Canis lupus familiaris: one gene and its partner. The protein of the gene in region 2 purifies or fractionates together with the protein of the main gene of each other region. This does not show direct contact. Links are inferred from orthologs where the notes say so. Each region holds a gene or a part of one and is shown on either strand. Other genes may lie near its edges.

Region 1 (9,621 bases), on a different chromosome or scaffold from region 2:
GAAGCATCTGTTACTTAGAAGATTACAGTCCTGCTTAGAGTATAAATTTATGAAAATGTTTTTAACAAGTAATTTATTGAACTACTACAACTACTAAATTTTTTACCAACCTCTCTTCTTAATTTGCTGTTTTCATTTTCTGCTTCCTCATTTCGAAGAGCCAACTAAAATAGCAAAATAAAAAAATAAGTAAATAAGGTTTAGCAGTAATTCAATATAAATCCAGGTTTCAACTAATCAATTTAAATTTTAAATTCTAATTAAGTAGAGAATGATTAACTACTAAGGACTTCATGTTGATCACAGATATGAATAATAAACCAAAATTTGTGAAATCTAAAGATTAGGAAAAACAAAACAGGCTGAGTTTAAATGATTAAAAAAAAAAAAAAAAAACTAACTAACCAAAGGATACAGAAACAAAGCAACAAACAAACTATTCCACTCCTCGCCCAAACCTAATAATCAGCAATTTTCTGTCCAAGATCTTTAGCATTTTGCAGTTCTATGTCAGGGCTAGGATATTTTTTGTTCTGGTGAGCATTTAAATTACTTAGAAATATAAGGCAGCACAACATAATGGTTAAAAAGAAGCAATCTGAAATCTGACTAGCCCAGGTTTATATTCTTTGTCCACTGATTTCTGGTGGAGTACAAACAAGCCATTTACTATCTTTTAAATCCAATTTTCCCATCTCATATATTGATGTAAAAATTAACTATGATGTTTATAAAGTCCCTTAGCACAATGCTCAGTGCATGAAATAACAAAAAAATTATGGAGTGTTTTCTTCTCACATAAATGATTTCATTTGTGATTCTTTTATTTCCCAAAACAAATTTTATTAACTATTATCACAGTTTTTTTTTAAACAATGTCCAAACCTCTTATGTCTTTTCACTTTTCTCCCTCATTCAAGCAGAATGTAAAAGATCAGTGGTTTGGAATTAGAATACATTTAAAAGTCTATAGTAAATAACCAAATGCAGTATGTGACCCTTGATGGAACCTTGGATTTGGGTGGAAGGGCTATGAAGGGCATTATTAAGCCAAAGGAAAAAAATACAATTAGAGACTAGATATTAGGTAACAGTATTGAAAAATATTAAATTTCCTGCATATGGTAATTATATAATGATTACATTGGAGAATACTCCTCTTTTTCAGAGACACATGCTGAAATATTTTAGTGTTCATGAAGTATCATGATATATGCAGCAGTTAATTCTCAAATGGCTCAGCAAAGAGAGAGAACTATGTGAATACAAAGATATTGATGGAGAGATAAAGTAAAAGTGGCAAAATTTTGACAATTGGTGAATCTGTATGAAGAGTATATGAATGCTTATTGTTTTTCCTATAATATTTAGGAAGGTATGATAGTTTTCAAAATAAAAAGTTTAGAGGGATCCCTGGGTGGTGCAGCGGTTTAGCGCCTGCCTTTGGCCCAGGGCGCGATCCTGGAGACCCGGGATCGAATCCCACATCGGGCTCCCTGCATGGAGCCTGCTTCTCCCTCTGCCTATGTCTCTGCCTCTCTCTCTCTCTCTCTCTCTCTCTCTCTCTGTGACTATCATAAATAAATAAAAAAAAATTTTTTTAAGACTTATTAAAATAAAATTAAAAAAGTTTAGAGAAAGTTTATAATAAAATGCAAAACACCGGAGAAATTTCAAGAGTGTACCTACTACTACTACTATCATCATCATCATCATCATCATCATCACCATCGTTGCCTGGGAGTTAAGAAATAATCCTATTGTGTTTTGAATTGGAAAATTTTAACTAGGAAAGAGATGTCAAGAACTTACCACTGAAGCATTTAGTACTACTGATGCTCTTTTCCCTTAATTTTTCAAACATCACATTCTTGATTTTTGTCTTATGCTGTTCCTTAAAGCACCTCTTCCTGTTTCATTAGACATTTCTCAGAGATCTCCCTTACAGTCATTTCTACGGCTTCATAGCTATGTTGCTAACTCACAAACCTTCACCCTCTACCCAATGCGTTTTATGAATTCCAAAACCAGTTACTCTTTTTGAATATGCCCACTGGAATCTCAAACTTAACATGAACAAAAGTGAAAACTGGAGTAGTAATTACACACCTTATAAATTTCTCTTATGTCTCTACTTAGTGAATAACACTACCTTATTATTCAGTGGCCCAACCCAGAAAACTCTCCATTCCTCCCTCTCCTGACAACCATTCAACACATCCAATTACACGTACATCTCTAAACCTGTCTATATCCCTTAATCTCTTCAGTCATGATTTTAATTAGTCCATCATCAGCACCTGCCTGAATTAGCACAGATGTCTCTTTACTATTCTTAGTCCTCTTCAATCCACTCTCTATAAAGCTGAATAAACATCAAAAGTATAGATCTGATCACGATATTCTCATATTCAAAATTCTTCTTCTTTTAGGAAAAAGACCAAATTTCTCAGGAACTGACTTGTACTTATCTCTCCGGAGGATCACAAATGTTTAAACTACAAAGGCAAGATAGTACAGTGGTTTAGAACAGACTCACTGAGTAGGTTTGGATTCAAATCCTGTTTTTACCACTTATTATTTCTGTAACCATGGACAATTACCCTTTCTTTGTCTGTTTCCCTATCTGGAGCATGGGGAAATGTTACCTATCTCAAATGATATGTATGAAACAAGGAACAACAAATTAGTGCCTATAAAGTATCTGGCACATAATAAGGATTCTACACTAGCCATTTTTACCTATATTTCAGCCAAAATGAATAATTGTAATTCCCTAAATTCACCATGCCATCTCTTCCCTCTAGATCTTAGCAAATGCTGTATCTTCAGCCCAGAATGCCCTTTCTTTAACCACCACGTATACCCCATACCCTTGCCAGACTAACTCCTAATTCAGGTCTGCTTTTTGGTGTTTTGTTTTTAATAATTTGTTTTAAAGATTTTCTTTATTTAAGAGAGAATGTGAATGGGAGAGCACGAGCAGGGGCGGGGCAGAGGCAGAGAGAAAGAAGCAGATCCCCTACTGAGCAGGGAGCCCAATGTGGGCTTGATTCTAGGACCCTAGGAATCAAGGGAGAATCAAGGGGAATCATGAGCTGAAGGCAGACCCTTAACCCACTGAGCCACCCGCGTCCTTCAGGTCTCAGTTTACAAATCATTTCCTGAACCTCAAGACTGATTTAGTTATCCCTCCCCAGAGTAGGGATATGTTACATTTATTATAGACAATGAATATCAAGAAGCAGGATAACATTACCCTCTATATTCCTAGCATCTAACAGTCTCTGGCAAGCTAAACTCAATAAGGGCAAAGAAGAAATTGCCAATAACTCATATTCCATCTCAAAGAATCTAACAACTGGAATGGTACATAGGCCATATATTCAAGTTTTCTGTATTTGTTTCTATGAATAGATAGTAGTCTAAGAATGGACAAGATAGTTCTGATTAACAGGATATGGATATGAATGACAAAAAGTTGATTAATATGGGCTAGATGGAAGAACAGTTCGGAAAATGACAGATATCCCCCTAACAAGCAAATCTATTTCTGTATATCATAGATTGAGTCCTTAATGATTATTAAGAAATTCATAGGTCTGCTTTGTTTTATTAAGTCAACTAAACAGACAATCCTCTAAGAACTTATTCCTAACCTTTAGGTGGCATCAATCCATACATTTTTCAGCACAAAAATGGTATGGATAGATCACTTTTACATGAATCTTTTAATTATGTAAGAAAATAAATATATCAAGAATAGGGAAGTTTTTCTTTACAAATCAATTTGTAACACCTTATAACCTTATAAAATAGCGACAACACTTTATAACCATTGTTGTTTACTTAAAATTTATTGCCTTCTACTTCTAAGAGAACAATGGACAAATATTATTAGGATGTAATGAAATATTGACCTAAAAGGACACAAAGGTGAAAGTTTCTGGGAATCAGGGATGGAATGTTACTATGCTTAGGCAGCAGATTCTATAAAAGTTTACTAACAGGTGAGGCAAAATAGGAAATTTGTTTTCTGACAGGATTTTCTAAATACACCTGCAAAAAATTTTTTCCTTAAACTAAATTTAAGAGAACACTGGATGAATTATTTTCTAAATAACAATATAATAATCCAAAAGGTAATAACTATATTTGTCTAAAAGACAAAATGTTGTGATTTAAAATACACATGGATTTAAAAATGCTGGCTTTAACAAACTTTTTAAGAACCTATATTTTTTTTACATATAGGTATTTATTGCACAATATGAAGTACTCCTAAAACCATGGAATTTGATTCAAAGATATAATGAAAACATGAACAGTAATACAAAACTTTAGAGGTAAGCATACATCTATTCTCACATAAAACACAGAAATTGATAGTTGCCATTATAAAAACATAATCAGGTGTTTTTAGGTAACTTAAACAGTTAAAATTCATTGAGGAAATATGCCTTACTTGCTCATTAACCTTCTTCTCTTTCTCCAACTCCTTTTCCATGTCCTCCAATTCTCTATCTTTTTGTTCCAATTGTTTTTCAAGTTGGCGAATTTCATCACGTAAAAACCGAGTGTCTCTTCCACCTGCAGACTGCTGTGCCAACTTAAATAAACCAAAAGTAGAAATCAATCCCATTAGAAGACTCAACAACAAATTGACTTTAAATTTGTTATATATAATCAGCACCAGATGTTTAAAATCATGTAAAATCCACCCAGACACTGACCTCTGCTGCTCTTAAACTACCCTTTCCCTTGTACCCTATTTAAACCAGGGCTGTCCAACAGGACTTTCTAGGATAATGGAAATGTTCTCTGAATGGTTGAGTAGCAGAGCCACTATCTACAAGTGGCTTTGTGAACTTCAAATGTGGCCACTGCAACTACGGAAATGAATTTCTAATTTCTATTGTAATGAATTTAAGTGTAAATAGCCACAAGTGATTAGTGCTACTGTACTGGATGGCTCAGACCAAGATCACCTTTAAAATCTTGGGCCAGATTAGGGCACCTGGCTGGTTCAGTAAGTAGAGCATTCAACTCTTGATCTCAGGGTCATGAGTTTGAGGCCCACGTTAGGGGGATAGAGTTTACTTAAAAAAAAAAAAAAAAAAAAAAACTCTTGTGGCAGATTAAATCCATTTCACTTCATATTCCTGTTATTTTCGGTCACAGTCCAAAACATATCCTTTGGCATCTACCTGTCTCACATTCATCTCTTTACCATACAGCTGTGTTATTCTTATATATTAAATAGCTTTTTCGGGATCCCTGGGTGGCACAGCGGTTTGGCGCCCACCTTTGGCCCAGGGCGCGATCCTGGAGACCTGGGATCGAATCCCAAGTCGGGCTCCCGGTGCATGGAGCCTGCTTCTCCCTCTGCCTGTGTCTCTGCCTCTCTCACTCTCTCTCTCTGTGTGACTATCATAAATAAATAAAAAAAAATTAAAAAAAATAAAAATAAAAAAAATAAATAGCTTTTTCTTACTCTTTTCCTCCTTCAGAACACTTTCTATTGTGCTCTCAAAAATCTTCTTTCAAGATACATTAATAAAATATTAATACATAAATACACTCTTGGCCCTTTTACTGAATCATGTTCTCCATCTCCCCTCCTTAGCTGCAATTTGGTTCCTTTAGTATACTAAATACTTTGGAACTCTTTGGAAGATGCTCATTCTTTCACATCCCATAGACCTCAGGGTCAAGAGAAGGTGTTGATTTACCTCAACTTGCAACTTTCAGGCTATCATTCTTCCACCATCTTATGAAAACTCTGGCTGCTATGAATTCCACATGATAACCAGCTATTCAATCCCTACCTATTCATGGTAGCAGCAAACTACTAACTTCCCAGTTGAGCCCCCTCAAAATTCGTTGGCAATTTTTGGCACATGGCTCATAGTGTTCCACCAAAAGACCCCATAAGCAGTTTTCATACCCATATAACTTTCATTCTAGTCTCTCTCTCTTCTTTTTTTTTCACATGCTTCTTGAATTCACTATAGCCTCCCACTCTCTTGCCCACACCAGAACCTTGTCCAGTGCAAACATTGTCTCATGATTCCTAGTATACCCACCCTCTGACTTCACAGGAGCCTCTAATTCCTTGACCCCTTTCTAACCTCTCATTCAAATCTTGATTTACCCATTCAGCTGAGATTTCATAATCATTATTTTAATCAACCACTTTCTTACCAATATCTCCCACTGTCCTATCCTTCCATTCTACTGTAGCTGTCTAAACACTAACAGAATCAATCTGATTTCATAATTCATTTAGTAAGTATTTATTGAGAATGACTGATATTTTTCTAGAATATAGATATATTATAGGGAACAAAAATAACTCATCCCACTTCACAGTTAGTAAATAAAAGAATCAGGATTTGAACTCAAACTGTCTGACTCCAGATCCCCTAATCTCCAGCTCATTCTCCACTGAGTACTTGAAATATTCCACAAGTATTTCAAGCTTAATTTTCCTTAAAATTTGATCACACATCTTCCACTCTTATTTTTAGTAAATGGGCCTTCACTCCAACCTCTCAACTTCTAGGTACTAAACCTATAAACATAAAAGCTTCTGCACACATCCATTCTTCCCATTACAAAGGAAGGTCGGGATCCCAGAGTGGCTCAGCGGTTTAGTGCCTGCCTTTGGCCTGGGGGCGTGTTCCTGGAGTCCTGGGATGAGTCCCACTTCCGGCTCCCCACAGGGCACCTGCTTCTCCCTCTGCCTGTGTCTCTGCCTCTCTGTGTCTCCCATGAATAAATAAATAAAATCTTAAAAAAAAAAAAAAAGGGAAGAAGGTCTTTCCCCCTTTTAAAGGCTAATCCATTTGTATCACACTCCTTCCCACATTGTCAGGAATTTCAAAATCTTTGGTTAACAATACATTCATATTTGGCTCCTAATTTTCTCAAAAACTACTTCTACCAAATCCTTCCACCAGTATTCCTCAAATTCCCATGTTCCTCCACTTCAGTTCAGTTGCTAGTAGTCTTCTGTACACCTCTCTAGATTGTAAGCTTTGGGGGGGTGACTGAATATTTTTATTTTGTTCACTATTGGATGTTCAATCCTAAGAACTTAAGGTACATGGTAAACGTGTAAAATGTATGTCGAACAAACAACTAATTATGAACACAATGTCATTCTTGTGGTTTCTTCCAGCCAATGATAAAAAATCGAAAACAGTAATTCAAAATAAACAACAGTTACCCCCTAGGTAATAGAAAAGAACTTACCTCCAGTTCATTTTCCAGTTTCATTACTTTAGTTTTTAATTGATTTTCTATTTAAAAAAAAAGTTTCAATTGGTCAGATTCATCTCAAAACAAACTTTTAAATAAATTTCAACAAAGTAATAAAATTATTTCTAAAGACTCCATCATGATTATAATAAGTAACATAAGAAAAAATGACTTTTATACCTCATCCAGGAAATATGAATGCTAGAAATTTCTTACAAAATAAACTGAGCATGTATATTTTATAGAGTATATTAAACAGAAGCCCCCCTACTTAACATTGTGATAAACTTTTCCAGGACATTTACCAAATTTTGCTTGTTCTTCTCCAGCCTTTTCAACTTCCTCCAAAGCTAGCTCAACCTCTTGAGCTTTCATCTAAACATTAAAAAAGAAAGGTTATTTCAATATGCCTTTACATACACACTGAAAATGAAAATGAGAACTTTGTTTCATTTGCTTTCCCAATATTTATTTGTCATTCAGTGCCTGGGATATGGAGACTTTCAGTAAATATTTGTTGAATGAATAGATGATTTTCTTAAGGACATAATTCCTAGATTCCTAACAGCTTGAAGTATATTGATTCCTCTTTTCTCCCTCAAGTCTTATATCCAGTACTGTAACTTTGCCCTTTGTAATGCTTTCTACTATGTTTCTCTATTCCATTTGTCATTATTCTAGCCCATAATCTTATATCTAACCTTCTTCACCATGTTATCTCTAAATAGCTTCAATTCCCTTCACTTAGTCCTATTAATATACCTAGTTGAAGCCTTCCTAAGGCATACTTTTGCACTTATCAATTAGGCTCAAAAACCTCTCATGGCTCCTCATTGCTAATAGCAACATAAAATACACCTGTAATACCCTTGACGGCCTACTGCTAACTATAACCAACATTAGTTTCCTCTACAACCTACTATAAACTTTCTGCACCTGTCTCAACTGTAAAAAATAAGCACATTTTCTAGTCCCAGATTTTACTTGTGATGTCCAGCTGTAGAAGCTTTTTAACATTTGCCACTGCTTTCTACTTACCTAAAATTGCTCATCACTCTTTGCCCTTTATGAGGCCTTCTCTCACCTAAATCTCTTCCTCTCCTAACAAACCCCTTACAAGTCATTCACATTTTTCATTCTGACTTCAGGATTATGTTAACATAATCACAAATGAGTTGCTATATTATTTTTAAACATACCCATTCTGTTTCCCTTATGCATTCTTTTAGGAACTTTGGAGCAGAATCGAGCAATGCTTTGCACACTAAAATTCTCAGTCCATATTTGAAAGAGATCTCTTTTTGAGTGATTTTGATATTACAAATACCTTCATAACAATTAACTTATTTAAGAGCTCCTTAAATGTCCTCTAATAGTCAAATATTGTTAAAACCTACTGCATACAAACCTTCATTAGTGATTGAGTAATTCTGAAAAGGTGTATCACATTTTCTTGACTTTCAGTTTTTAGCTCACTTATTTCCACCTAAGTAAAGAGAAAAGCATCTATTTTATGTTTTATAACCCTTAGTCAAAATGTAAAAACTCTTCTATTTGTAACATTCATTGATCTCAGGGACAACTTGGATTAATCACAGTTGTACATAGATAGATGCACTGTTTATAAATTAAGCACCTTGGATAAGGAAACCAGTAAATTATCTGCCAATTCTTCTTGACGAGGCAGGTCATCTGGATCAACTTTTATTATTTCTTTCCAGTTTATATTAGGTGGCATCTTGAAATCTTTCACTGCGCTTTACCTTCTGGAACAAGACAGGTAGGTGGGTGTTAGCATTTTCAAGATAAACAGCATTACTATTTTTATAGATTGTATCATTTTAACTCTCTATGGTGTTAGCAAAGAGGTATGGCTCCCTAATTGCATAAGAGATAAGTGGGCATAATAGCATTGATCAAAACTATGACAGCTGGCACAAATCAACAGATCCTGCACCGCCTGTAAACTAGGAGTGATTTCTTCTAAAACTAACCTAGGGCAGAACTAAGATTCTGAATCCCCTCCTCCACGCCCCCTTACCACCAAGGCGCGCGAACATCTAGTGGTGCCAAAACGAGGGGGGTGCTTGGAAGGCTGAGAATGAATCCTGATTCGGAGAAGCAAGAACAGGAGCGGTTTAAAAATAATAATAATAAAAACAGTGCAGAAATAAACGACTGAAATGAGCGCAGCTAGGCCAGGGAAAGCAGGGCTGCAGCTAGAAGAAGGCAGATGGGTTGCAGACCAGGCTAAGCAGTGGGGAAGCTAGGCTGTTACGTACGGGCCCTGAGGCTTAAAGAACCTGCTTGGGAAGAAACTGGCTGCTCCTGCTCATCAAGATCCACTCCAAGATCCAC
Region 2 (10,093 bases):
CAGGCCCAGTCACAACTCACGGCGCCCAGACTCCTGCGTGTCTCTTTATTGCCCACCTCAATTGTGGTGAGGGCTGGGAGGGGCTGGTCCCCACCCCATCCCCAGCTGCCTACATTTTCCATTGTCTGGCTTCCTCCTCTTGTGTCCAGCGAAGCCGCAGGGTTTCGTCTGCAGAGAGAAAGGACTGGGCTACTGGCTTTCTTGAAGCGGCCAGGAGATCCGGCCCACATTACTCCGAAACTCCCTGGAACCACCCACTCAGGCCCTCTCCCTCCCTGGCCAGCACAGGCAGCCTCTCGCCCCTGCCCGGGCTCACGTCTGCATTGGTTTTGGTGTGGGGAATTTCAATTGCTTCCAGGTTCTCTCTCCAAACTTTCCGGACTCTGCCAGTTGAGCCCCTTGGATACCAGCCACTGACACCAGCCTGACTCTGCTCTGTCTTTGGAGGACAGGCCGGCTCCTGGAGGGGGGCGGGTAGCAGAGAGGAGTCAGGGAGCAGGCGTGGGGCCAGTGGATAGTGCCATGCTGGAGAGGGCCCCAAATCCTTTGGAGTCTCCCTGGTTCCTCTCTGAACAACACAGGCCTTGCACACCAGGATGCTTGGGACCATGCTCAGTAACCATTGCTGATCCACCGGTATGCAAAGAAGGGGAGCTGGGGGGCTGAGTGCTTGTCAAAAGCCAGACACTGTGGCCTGGTGCCCTCACCAGGCTGTGATGTCGCCACTGTCCCCGTCAGGCAGTCTTCAGTGGCCTGGTGATCCTGAACAGGGTTTCCTGTGTGGTCCAGCAGACGGACCTCTGTGCTTATGGGGTTCTCAATCACCCAGTTAAAATTTACTGAGCCTGCAAGCATCACGGGATCAAGATTGGGGCACCCCACTAGTCTGCTGGCTACCAGCACCCCCCGTCCCAGGCTGACCCAGCCCAGCTCTCACTGTCCTGCTGGTCATGCTCATCTTCTGTGTCCTCCTCGAGCTCCGGGTGTGGGGAGCACCTCAGGTACCTCCCTTTGCTATAATACTCTTTTCGTTGCAGGCCAATCTCCTTGTCTGACGTGATGGCGGCTGAAACTGGGCACTGATTTCGGAAGCTACGGGAATCTGGAGAGTCACCCCAATGATCTGAGTCTTCCAGCCACGTCGGGGGTCTAGGACCCCCAGGTGTCCATAATGCCCTCCCTCAGGGGAGAAGCTCAGGCCCCCGATTTTCATCTCAATTCTGTGTCCTCCTCCCATGTGAGAAAACCCTGGTGACCTATCCATTCCCCAGGGCTGTCTCAGGCTTCCCGAGGGCCGTTATGCTGAGGACCCCACCTCCTCCGCCTTCTATCTTCCCTGGGGGTGCCTCCCATCACCTCCCTCTCAGGCACCACAGCTGACCCTTGACTTCCAAGAGGTGGTTCCTGGTCACCAGGCCAATCTCATCTTTGACTCCTCTGGCCAGTCCTCCCGGCCAGCCTCTCTCCGCAGGCCTGGGCTCTGGGTCCCGCATTATGCCTCGACTGCTACTGCCCATGCTAGTGCTAGCCCCGTCACTGTGCTTATTACTGGAAGAAGGATTTTTCTGAGCTGTAAGGAACTTTCCTTCGTCGTAGTGTGACTTTCGGTGCTTTTCAAAATCACTGGAGTCTGTGGGCCATTGTGAGAGCTTGGCTTTCCCGCCAGGCTCCCATGGAGGGTTCACTCTGCCTCCCCTTTCTCCTCAGTCCCGACCCCTCATCTCACGTGTCTTGGAAAAGTTGTCTGAAGACCCTGGGCTTCTGTTATCATCGTACTGTAGGACCTTGGGGTACAAATTGTCCATTGTTGCAAACCTGAAGGGGAGGGAGACTAGTTGGGGGCGCCAAAGGGGAGATCACAAGGGGGGCCTAGCTGGGCTGACTCCCTGATCTTGACCTTGGTCAGTCCTGATAGCAGGGAACTGTACCACCTCTCATTTTGGTGGCCGAAAAAGCAGAACTGGCTCTGACCCCAGGGGTGAGGTTAGGAAGAGGCCTCACATCTCTTCTGATCTCTGGCTGGACTCTCACCTCTCAGCCAGCGCCTCAGGAGTCACTGTGCAAGAGGATGCTCCAGGCAGGTCCTCATCACCGTCCTGCAGCCTGCAGAGGAGGGAGGAAGCAGTGCTGGGATGCAGGCATCAGGCTGTGCCCAGTTCTTGGGGTCTCTCTGCCTCCCCTTCTACCCTCTCTGAATAGGGAAGGTTCTGGGCTGAATGATGAGGGCTGAGGGCTCAGCACCTGTGGTAGGGAGTGCTGGGCTCATCCACCTTCATGAATCCATAGTCCTTGTCAGCAGGGTGGTAGGTGGCCAGAATATTCATCTCATCCCACCGCTGAGACTTTTTCCTGGAATAGGGGTAGGACCCAAGAGAGGAGAAGGAAATCTTCCAGTGACCTTCCCTTCACAACCCTCCCTCGTTCCTTCAGTTATTCAAAAACCTTTCTCTTGTATCCTCTCGTGATCTCAGAGGCGCAGGAGCCTGAGGATGGCGAGGCGAGGGTGCCATACCTGATGATAATCACATACTGGCCTGACAACGTTTACTGGGCCCCAGCTGCGGCCCCAGAGAGCCTGGAACCCGAGAATTCCCAGCTCACAGCCCTCAGCCGCTCTCCTTCCTAGTTCTTAGGACACCACCCTCTCCCCTAGCTCCGCCCCCTCCAGTGTCGGGAACCCCGCCCTCCGGGCTCCGCGCCGCTGCCCCCTGAGCGGGGCTCCTTACTTGTCCGCATGGAGGCACTTCTGCATCAAGATGGAGCTGCTGTTTTTTAGGATGCTCCGGGGTCGGCCCTCACCAGGTTTGTGGGAGTGCGAGCAAGTTGACCCGGAGCGCGGCGGACTGCATCCCGAGTTGTACACCCCAGAGCCCCCAGACCCGAGGCCGCAGGTCCCGGATACACTGGTTCCAAGGAAGGGGGCATTGAATCCGTCAGGGTTTGGGCAGGACCCGGCGCTCAGGCCCGCAACCTCCCCAGGGTGCTGGCTGGGCCCGGAACCGGGGACTGCTACCCTCGCCGAGGGCCGGCTAACTCTAGGACTGCGAGTTACGATCCCTCCAGAGTGCAGGGGGGGCTCAGAACCGTGAAACAAGGCAGCACCGGAGGGCGGCCCGGCATCTGCCTCGACTCCTCCGACGCCTCCTAGCGCTCCCCTGCTCGCCCCTCCCGGAGACTCCCCACCGAGGCCGCCAGCGGCCCCCACAGCCTCCGGCTTCTCCATGGCCCCTCCCGGGGGCCCCTCTCAGCTGCCCCGCCCCCACATAACCCCGCCCCGAGGCCCCGCCCCCACCGCGCCGGGCGGGGGACGCTCTGGCAGAGGCCCGGGTCCACTTCCGCTCCGCTCTCCGGGGCCGCGATCCGGGGTTCCAGACTCTAAGTAGGGCCCTCGGGCTGGGGGGTTGCCCTCTGGTTGCCTCTCTCTGTCCCACCCAAAGGCCTTCTTTGTCTCTGGGATTTGTTCCCGCCCTTCTTCCCCATCACCGCCTTCATCCGAATTATCCAATCACAATCGGGGGTCCCGGTTACGGGCGAAAAGCCTTGATTGTGACGTCACAGCCTTTCAGCCTCAGCGCGAGCTCGCAGAGTTGGGCTGGGGGCTTGTTCCTAGCTCGGGGGTCTTTTTGGGGGGGCGGGGGTCAATTCCTCAGCGCCGTTGCTGGAAACCACCTGCCAAGGTTTCACTGGACTGTTTATCCGTGGCTTTAAGATTTAAGGGTCTGGCTGGATGGGAGTTCACGGTGGGCTTATCTGGAAGTACTGCCAACCCCTTTAGCCTCCGCCGGCCCCCTCCCCAAAGTTGGCCTGCTGTGCCCCTCACGAGAGGTGTGATACAAAGCGACGAGGTTGCGACAGTGTCGCAAAGACGTAGCCGCGCGGCGCCGAGGTGTTCATTTATAAAGCGCCCGGCTCCCTTCCCCAGGTCCTAAGGCCGCTGCTCACCCACTGCGAAGGCTGTGGCGCGAGGGGAACACACCCCCTCCGCCCGCCGTAAAGCGGCTTCCTAGAGGGGCCGCGTACCTCGGCGAGGGCGGGGTCGTCGGCGCCGCTGTTGCCAAGCTGAAGGTGGGGCGGACCCCCTGCGTCGTAAAGGGGCCTGCGGCTGTCGTTTCCTCTTCTGTCGCAAAAGCTCCCTGTCCTAGCCCACACGCCTTTGAGAGCCTCGCCGTCACCCCGCCGTGCCGTAAAGCAAGCCTGCCCGACCCCGTCGTCCTCCGTTCCCACCGTGGTGGGTTACTAGTTCCCTAGCCCGGGATGCTTCCTCGCCCGGCAGTGCCGTAAAGCATACCCGGCCCCAGCGCGGAATCCCGTTCCCTCTGGGTGTCTGTGCGTCGCGGTTGCCACGGTGCCGCCAAGCGCGGCTGTCGCGCGGCCCCGGTGTCAGCGGCGATGGCGGCGGGGTCGGGTGGGAGCGGGGGCTCCGGGGGTGGCCCCGGGCCGGGGCCTGGCGGGGGTGGGGGCCCCGGCGGGAGCGGCGCAGGGCCGGGGTCCGGCGGGGAGTTGCACCCCCGCACCGGGCGCCTGGTGAGCCTGTCGGCCTGCGGGCGTACCGCGCGGCGGCAGCAGCCGGGCCAGGAGTTTAACCACGGGCTGGTGTTGAGCCGGGAGCCCTTGCGCGATGGACGCGTCTTCACCGTCCGCATCGACCGCAAGGTGCGGAGCGGGGCCCGCGGGAGGGAGGCGGGAGGGGGCGAGCGGGAGACGCGGGGCGGGACGGCCGGGCTGGCCTCCGCCGCCGGCTGCCGAGAGCGAACCGACACACCGTCGCGGCACCAGGCGGCGGGCGGGGAAGGGGAGAGGGACGGCGAGAGCTTTAGATTGCTCGAGACCCCGGAGCAGGGAACGGACACGGGACGCTGCCACCCCAGGGGTGGTTAGGGTCCAGATCTCCCGGGATGGTTTCTGGGGAGGTGAAAAGATGGAGGGATGTCGGGGATGTGGTAGGAGCGCAGGAGAGAAGCCGGGGAAGGACCGGCCGTTGGAGGATCAGCTGGGGCGAAGAGGTGGGTGAGGAGAGACCCTCAGGGGGGCCGAGGGGAGGTGTGCCTGCTTGTGTGCCCCTCGGAGAAGAGGCCAGGTGCACACAGATGGAACTTGGGAAGAGAGGGAATCTGAGTGGAGCAGGAGCCCTGGAGAAAATGAGGTCGGGGGTGGGGGGAATTGGGAGGGGGGAGGAGGGTGGTAGACAGGAGCTAGGAGGATGGGCATGGAGAGCCGGGAACTTGGATGCTGGAAGCCAGGGGGGCTGCAGCCAGGGCATGGTGGTGTTGGGGACAGATCCCAGAGTGGGGGCAGAGTTGCTGGGGTACAGCGGGCCCAGCAGTCCCTGAGACAGTCCAGATGATTGCTCACAGGACCACCTCTCTAGAGTCGTGTCTTGGGTCTCAATAGAGAAAAGCCAGTTAGCTGTTAGGGGTGTGGAGAGAGGGGGACACGTGGTTTGTGAAATGTGGTTTCCTAGTGGTTGGGGACCCACGGTAGCCCATCCTGAGCCTCTGTCCACCACCCTTATCACAGGTCAACTCCTGGAGTGGCTCCATTGAGATTGGGGTGACGGCCCTAGACCCCAGTGTTCTGGACTTCCCAAGCAGCGCCACAGGGCTGAAGGGGGGCTCATGGGTAGTGTCAGGCTGCTCGGTGTTGAGGGATGGACGCTCTGTGCTGGAGGAGTATGGTCAGGACCTGGACCAGCTTGGTGAAGGGGACCGTGTGGGCGTGGAGCGCACAGTTGCTGGGGAGCTGCGGCTCTGGGTGAATGGGCGGGACTGTGGTGTTGCCGCCACGGGCCTCCCCGCCCGGGTCTGGGCCGTGGTGGACCTTTACGGCAAGTGCACCCAGATCACCGTGCTGCCCCCCGAGCCAGGTTTCAGCCCCCCTGCTCCCATCCCCACACCTCCCCTCGAGCCCTCTGCACCCCCTGAAGATTCCACCTTGACTGAACAGGCGACCTCTGGGGATGAAGGTGAGAACCCAGCCAGGGCCGAGGGGAAGAGGCGGGGCAGGGGGAGTGGCAGAAGGCATGGGTGACTAGTGACCATGGAGTCTGGGTTCGGGTAGGGCCACTCAGACCCCAGTCTGCTGAAGGGGAAGCAGGGGCTACAGGAGGGGTGTCCTGGTTGTGGGCCCCGCAGCAGGGGCTGGACCCTCATTCCCCTCCCACCCCGCCTGGTCCCCAGCCTTCATGGTGTCCCCAGCGCAGCCCCGGCCGGAGACGTTTCCTAACAGCCTTGAGTCGCATAATGGTGAGGGCACCCTGGAGGCTTTGGGAAGGGGAATGGGAAGTGAGGCGGAAGGTGAGGGGAGGGGGCCCTCAGGAGAGGATTAGGGGGAGAGTGGAGGGCCTGAACGTGTAGAGCCTCATTCCGGCTTCCCTCCCCTGTCCTGCCGCCTAGACTTTGCCAGCATGGAGCTCTCTGAGGTGGTGGGCAACGCCATCCTTTCTGCCTACAACGGGGGGCTCCTAAATGTGAACCTGAGCTCCCCACCGGCAGGGGAAGGACTGGGGTCTGGCGGGGCTGCCACCTCGCCCATCCTCACCTCCAACGACGCCCTGCTCTTTCACGAGAAGTGTGGGACTCTCATCAAACTCAGCAACAACAATAAGACAGCTGAGCGCCGCCGGCCCCTGGACGAATTCAACAACGGGGTTGTCATGACCAACCGCCCTCTCCGGGACAATGAGATGTTTGAGGTGTGTGAGGTCCTGGGCCCTGGCTGGTACCTCACCCTCTGGGAACCAAAAATGGGGCTCGATCCCTGACATTGGAAGGGTGGGGCCGAGGGTCCTCTCTCCACATTGACATGCCCTCCTCTCCCTCCTGCTGTCGCTCCCCCCAAGATCCGCATTGACAAGCTCGTAGACAAGTGGTCGGGCTCCATTGAGATTGGTGTCACCACCCACAACCCCAACAACCTGGAGTACCCTGCCACCATGACCAATTTACAGTCAGGTACCAGCCCTGGCGGGGCGGGGACACCTTCCCATGGTGAAGGAAGGCCTGGCCTGATGCCGGGCGTCTGCCTTCCCACAGGCACCATCATGATGAGCGGCTGTGGGATCCTGACCAATGGCAAGGGCACCCGCCGGGAGTACTGTGAATTCAGCCTGGATGAGCTGCAGGTAAGGGGTGGGCGTGCAGTCTGGGCCGCGCTCTGGGGCAGCCTTGTTACCCAGCACCCCTGCCCGGGCACCCCAGTCTCCGCTGTGACCTGGAACAAGGCTTCTGATCTTTCTCCGAGAGGTTCCTTCTGAGAAGGCACGGTTGCCTGGTAGTTAGGCACTCAGATTTCAGAGCCAGAGGTTTTCTTTTTTTCTGAGGGGTCGTGTGGGGTCATGACTACAGTCAAGAAGCTTGCTCACTATGTTTGGTATGGGTTTCTTTTTTTCTTTTCTTCTCCACGCCTGAGATGAGCTCATGAATTGCTTGGAGAGGTGGCTAAGGTGCTGTGTATGAGGTGGCTTCACCCTGTGCCAGACTTGCTGTGAGGGAGGGTTCAGGGGCTCAAGACTCAGGTGCCTTTGGGGCTGTTCCCCTGCGGCCTGGGCCAGAGCCTGATTGGAGGCGGATTCCAGATCTTTGTTTTTCTGCTCTGACTAGGAGGGCGACCACATTGGTCTCACAAGGAAGTCCAACTCAGCCCTGCACTTCTTTATCAATGGCATTGATCAGGGTAAGGAGATACCTGAGGCAGGCCATTGGGCTAGGGCTTTCGGTGTTGGGCAGGGGTCTGTACCTCACCGTCCTGTGTCTCCCTGATGCTGGTCTCCCCATATTCCTTCCCTCTCTGCCTTCTCCCCGGCAGGCGTGGCTACCCCACTGACACCCCCAGTGGTGTACGGCGTGGTGGACTTGTACGGGATGGCTGTGAAGGTGACCATCGTCCACAATAACAACCACAGCGACCGGCTGCGTCGAAACAATGCCATCCTGCGGGCACTGTCCCCCGAGGGCGCCCTGCGTCGCGCCACTCCTGCCACCCAGGCAGAGCCCGAGCGCCTGCTCTTCCACCCTAACTGCGGGCAGAAGGCAGCTATCACCCACGAGGGACGCACTGCCCTGAGGCCCCAGTATGGCCCATGGTGTGGGGAGAAGCCTGCTGCAGGGACTCTAACAGGATCGGAGGAGGGGTGGAGAAGCAGGAGGCAGGCGTGGGGGGGGGTGTGTGGCTTCTGACCTGGGGAGTTCTTGATAGTATGGGGGGGTGCCTCCTGGAGAGTGAAGTTCAGCCACGTGGCTCAGCACCACAGGTGTGAGGTGGGCACTGGCGGGCTAAGCTTTGGTGTGCTCAGTTACGCATTCGCTGTGCCCTCAGTGCCACAGATGACTTCAACCATGGCGTGGTGCTGAGTAGCAGAGCCCTGCGGGACGGAGAGGTGTTTCAGGTGCGCATCGACAAGATGGTGGACAAGTGGGCTGGCTCCATTGAGATTGGTGTCACCACCCACAACCCTGCCTACCTCCAGTTGCCCTCCACCATGACCAACTTGCGCTCTGGTGAGCTCCCAAGGAGGGCGGGGCCAGGATCAGGTCCTAAGGGGGAAGCTGCCCCCACAGCCCCCACGGAGCTGGCTTGTTCTTGTTTTGCTGCGGCGGCCTGCCACGGGGGCGAGGAGTGCCGTGGGGGCTGTGAAGGGCAGGGGGCCCGGGGCTCACTTATGTGCTCTGTGTTTCCTCGTTCTCCTAGGGACCTGGATGATGACCGGGAATGGGGTGATGCACAACGGAACGACCATTTTGGACGAGTATGGGCACAATCTGGACCGCCTCAAGGTGGGGGAGCAGGTGTGCCGCCCAGGCCTGGTGATGGGGGGCAGGCCCATCGGGGCTGCTATAGGACTAGCCCAGGCGGGAACTCTGCCTGACTCCTCACTCCAGCCCCCCTTCTTCCAAGGCAGGGGACACTGTGGGCGTGGTGCGGCGGGAGGACGGGACCCTGCACTTCTTCGTCAACGGGATGACCCAGGGCCCTGCGGCCTGGAATGTGCCCCCTGGCGTCTACGCTGTTGTGGACCTCTATGGCCAGGCAGCCCAAGCTACCATTGTGGATGACGTGGGTGAGGGCTGGGATGGGTAGGAGCTGGGGGGTGCTGGGGTGGCCTGGGGTGGCTACCGCCCAGGCCTGGTAGGAGCTGGGGGGTGGCTGGGGGGCCTCGGAGACCACTGGAAGCCTAACGGGTGATGACCACTCTCACAGAGGTGCCCCCGGCCCCTGAGCCCCTCTCTGAAGGGAACAACCAGGTGTCTCCCAGCTCCCCATCATCAGGGGCCGGGGGCTCTGACCTGCGCTTCCATCAGCTGCACGGCAGTAATGCAGTCATCACCAACGGGGGCCGCACCGCACTCCGGCACAACTGCCGCAGCGAGTTCAATGACGCCATCGTCATCTCCAACCGGTCAGTGTTGGCGCTGTCACGGCCCCAGCCTCCCGCCGCCCAGCCTTGGCCACCCAACTGGGGCCTGATTGCCGCTGTCTCTGGCAGGGCCCTGCGGGACGGAGAGCTGTTTGAAATCGTTATTCAGAAGATGGTGGACCGCTGGTCAGGCTCCATTGAGGCTGGTAAGGGGCACCTGTGCATTTCTGCATGCGTGCATGCACGTGTGTGACAGACTCTGTGTGCTGGGGATGGTGCTGGCTGCCCGTTGCTGGAGCCTTGGTTCTGACCCCCTGCTGCTACCTCCTAGGAGTGACTGCCATTCGGCCGGAAGACCTCGAATTCCCCAACACCATGACAGACATTGACTACGACACATGGATGCTGAGGTTAGGCTGCCTGTGGGGACAGCCAGCCTGGCAGGGTCAGGTGGAGCTAGTGAGGATGAGGGAAGCCAGCTTTGGGGCCTTCGGTGGCCCTGGACAACGACAGGTCCAAGGGATCGGGTCGCTCTTTTCTTTCCATTCTGGGAAGTGCTCCCATGTCACCACGCACCCCACGGTGGCCCAGCTTCCTTTTCTCCTCTTATGGCAGCTCCCGCTTTTCTCTGTGGGTGGTCCCCAGAGGTATGGGAGACAGGATTGGGTCTCAGACCCCAGATGAAGATCCTGATGCAAGGCACTGGAAGGTTCTGACGATCAGAGACTGCTCAGAGGCCTG

Evidence for each region.
Region 1: the proteins of NEURL4 (region 2) and CEP290 purify together in Homo sapiens (affinity purification with mass spectrometry; 3 studies listed by BioGRID and IntAct, with this or other methods). This does not show direct contact. The link is inferred for Canis lupus familiaris from reciprocal best matches to the Homo sapiens genes NEURL4 and CEP290.

The regions. Positions count from the first base shown.
Region 1 is NC_049236.1:29,570,097-29,579,717, forward strand, and holds part of CEP290 (centrosomal protein of 290 kDa), read right to left. Parts: 5' UTR 9,567-9,621; intron 9,044-9,566; exon of another isoform or gene 9,030-9,043; 5' UTR 9,002-9,029; coding exon 8,900-9,001; intron 8,750-8,899; coding exon 8,672-8,749; intron 7,639-8,671; coding exon 7,569-7,638; intron 7,305-7,568; coding exon 7,258-7,304; intron 4,610-7,257; coding exon 4,466-4,609; intron 4,347-4,465; exon of another isoform or gene 4,282-4,346; intron 165-4,281; coding exon 111-164; intron 1-110. UniProt on the Homo sapiens protein: Involved in early and late steps in cilia formation. Its association with CCP110 is required for inhibition of primary cilia formation by CCP110.
Region 2 is NC_049226.1:32,487,840-32,497,932, reverse strand, and holds the start of NEURL4 (neuralized-like protein 4), read left to right. Parts: upstream 1-4,389; coding exon 4,390-4,653; intron 4,654-4,775; exon of another isoform or gene 4,776-4,895; coding exon of another isoform or gene 4,896-5,003; intron 5,004-5,517; coding exon 5,518-5,962; intron 5,963-6,176; coding exon 6,177-6,242; intron 6,243-6,392; coding exon 6,393-6,691; intron 6,692-6,838; coding exon 6,839-6,950; intron 6,951-7,031; coding exon 7,032-7,120; intron 7,121-7,598; coding exon 7,599-7,671; intron 7,672-7,803; coding exon 7,804-8,068; coding exon of another isoform or gene 8,069-8,143; intron 8,144-8,313; coding exon 8,314-8,495; intron 8,496-8,685; coding exon 8,686-8,771; coding exon of another isoform or gene 8,772-8,783; intron 8,784-8,892; coding exon 8,893-9,055; intron 9,056-9,195; coding exon 9,196-9,394; intron 9,395-9,481; coding exon 9,482-9,558; intron 9,559-9,683; coding exon 9,684-9,762; intron 9,763-10,093. Other genes in the region: uncharacterized protein LOC106558815, read right to left, coding at 894-1,102, 1,382-1,630, 1,727-1,815, 2,032-2,103, 2,242-2,349, 2,727-3,223. UniProt on the Homo sapiens protein: Promotes CCP110 ubiquitination and proteasome-dependent degradation. By counteracting accumulation of CP110, maintains normal centriolar homeostasis and preventing formation of ectopic microtubular organizing centers.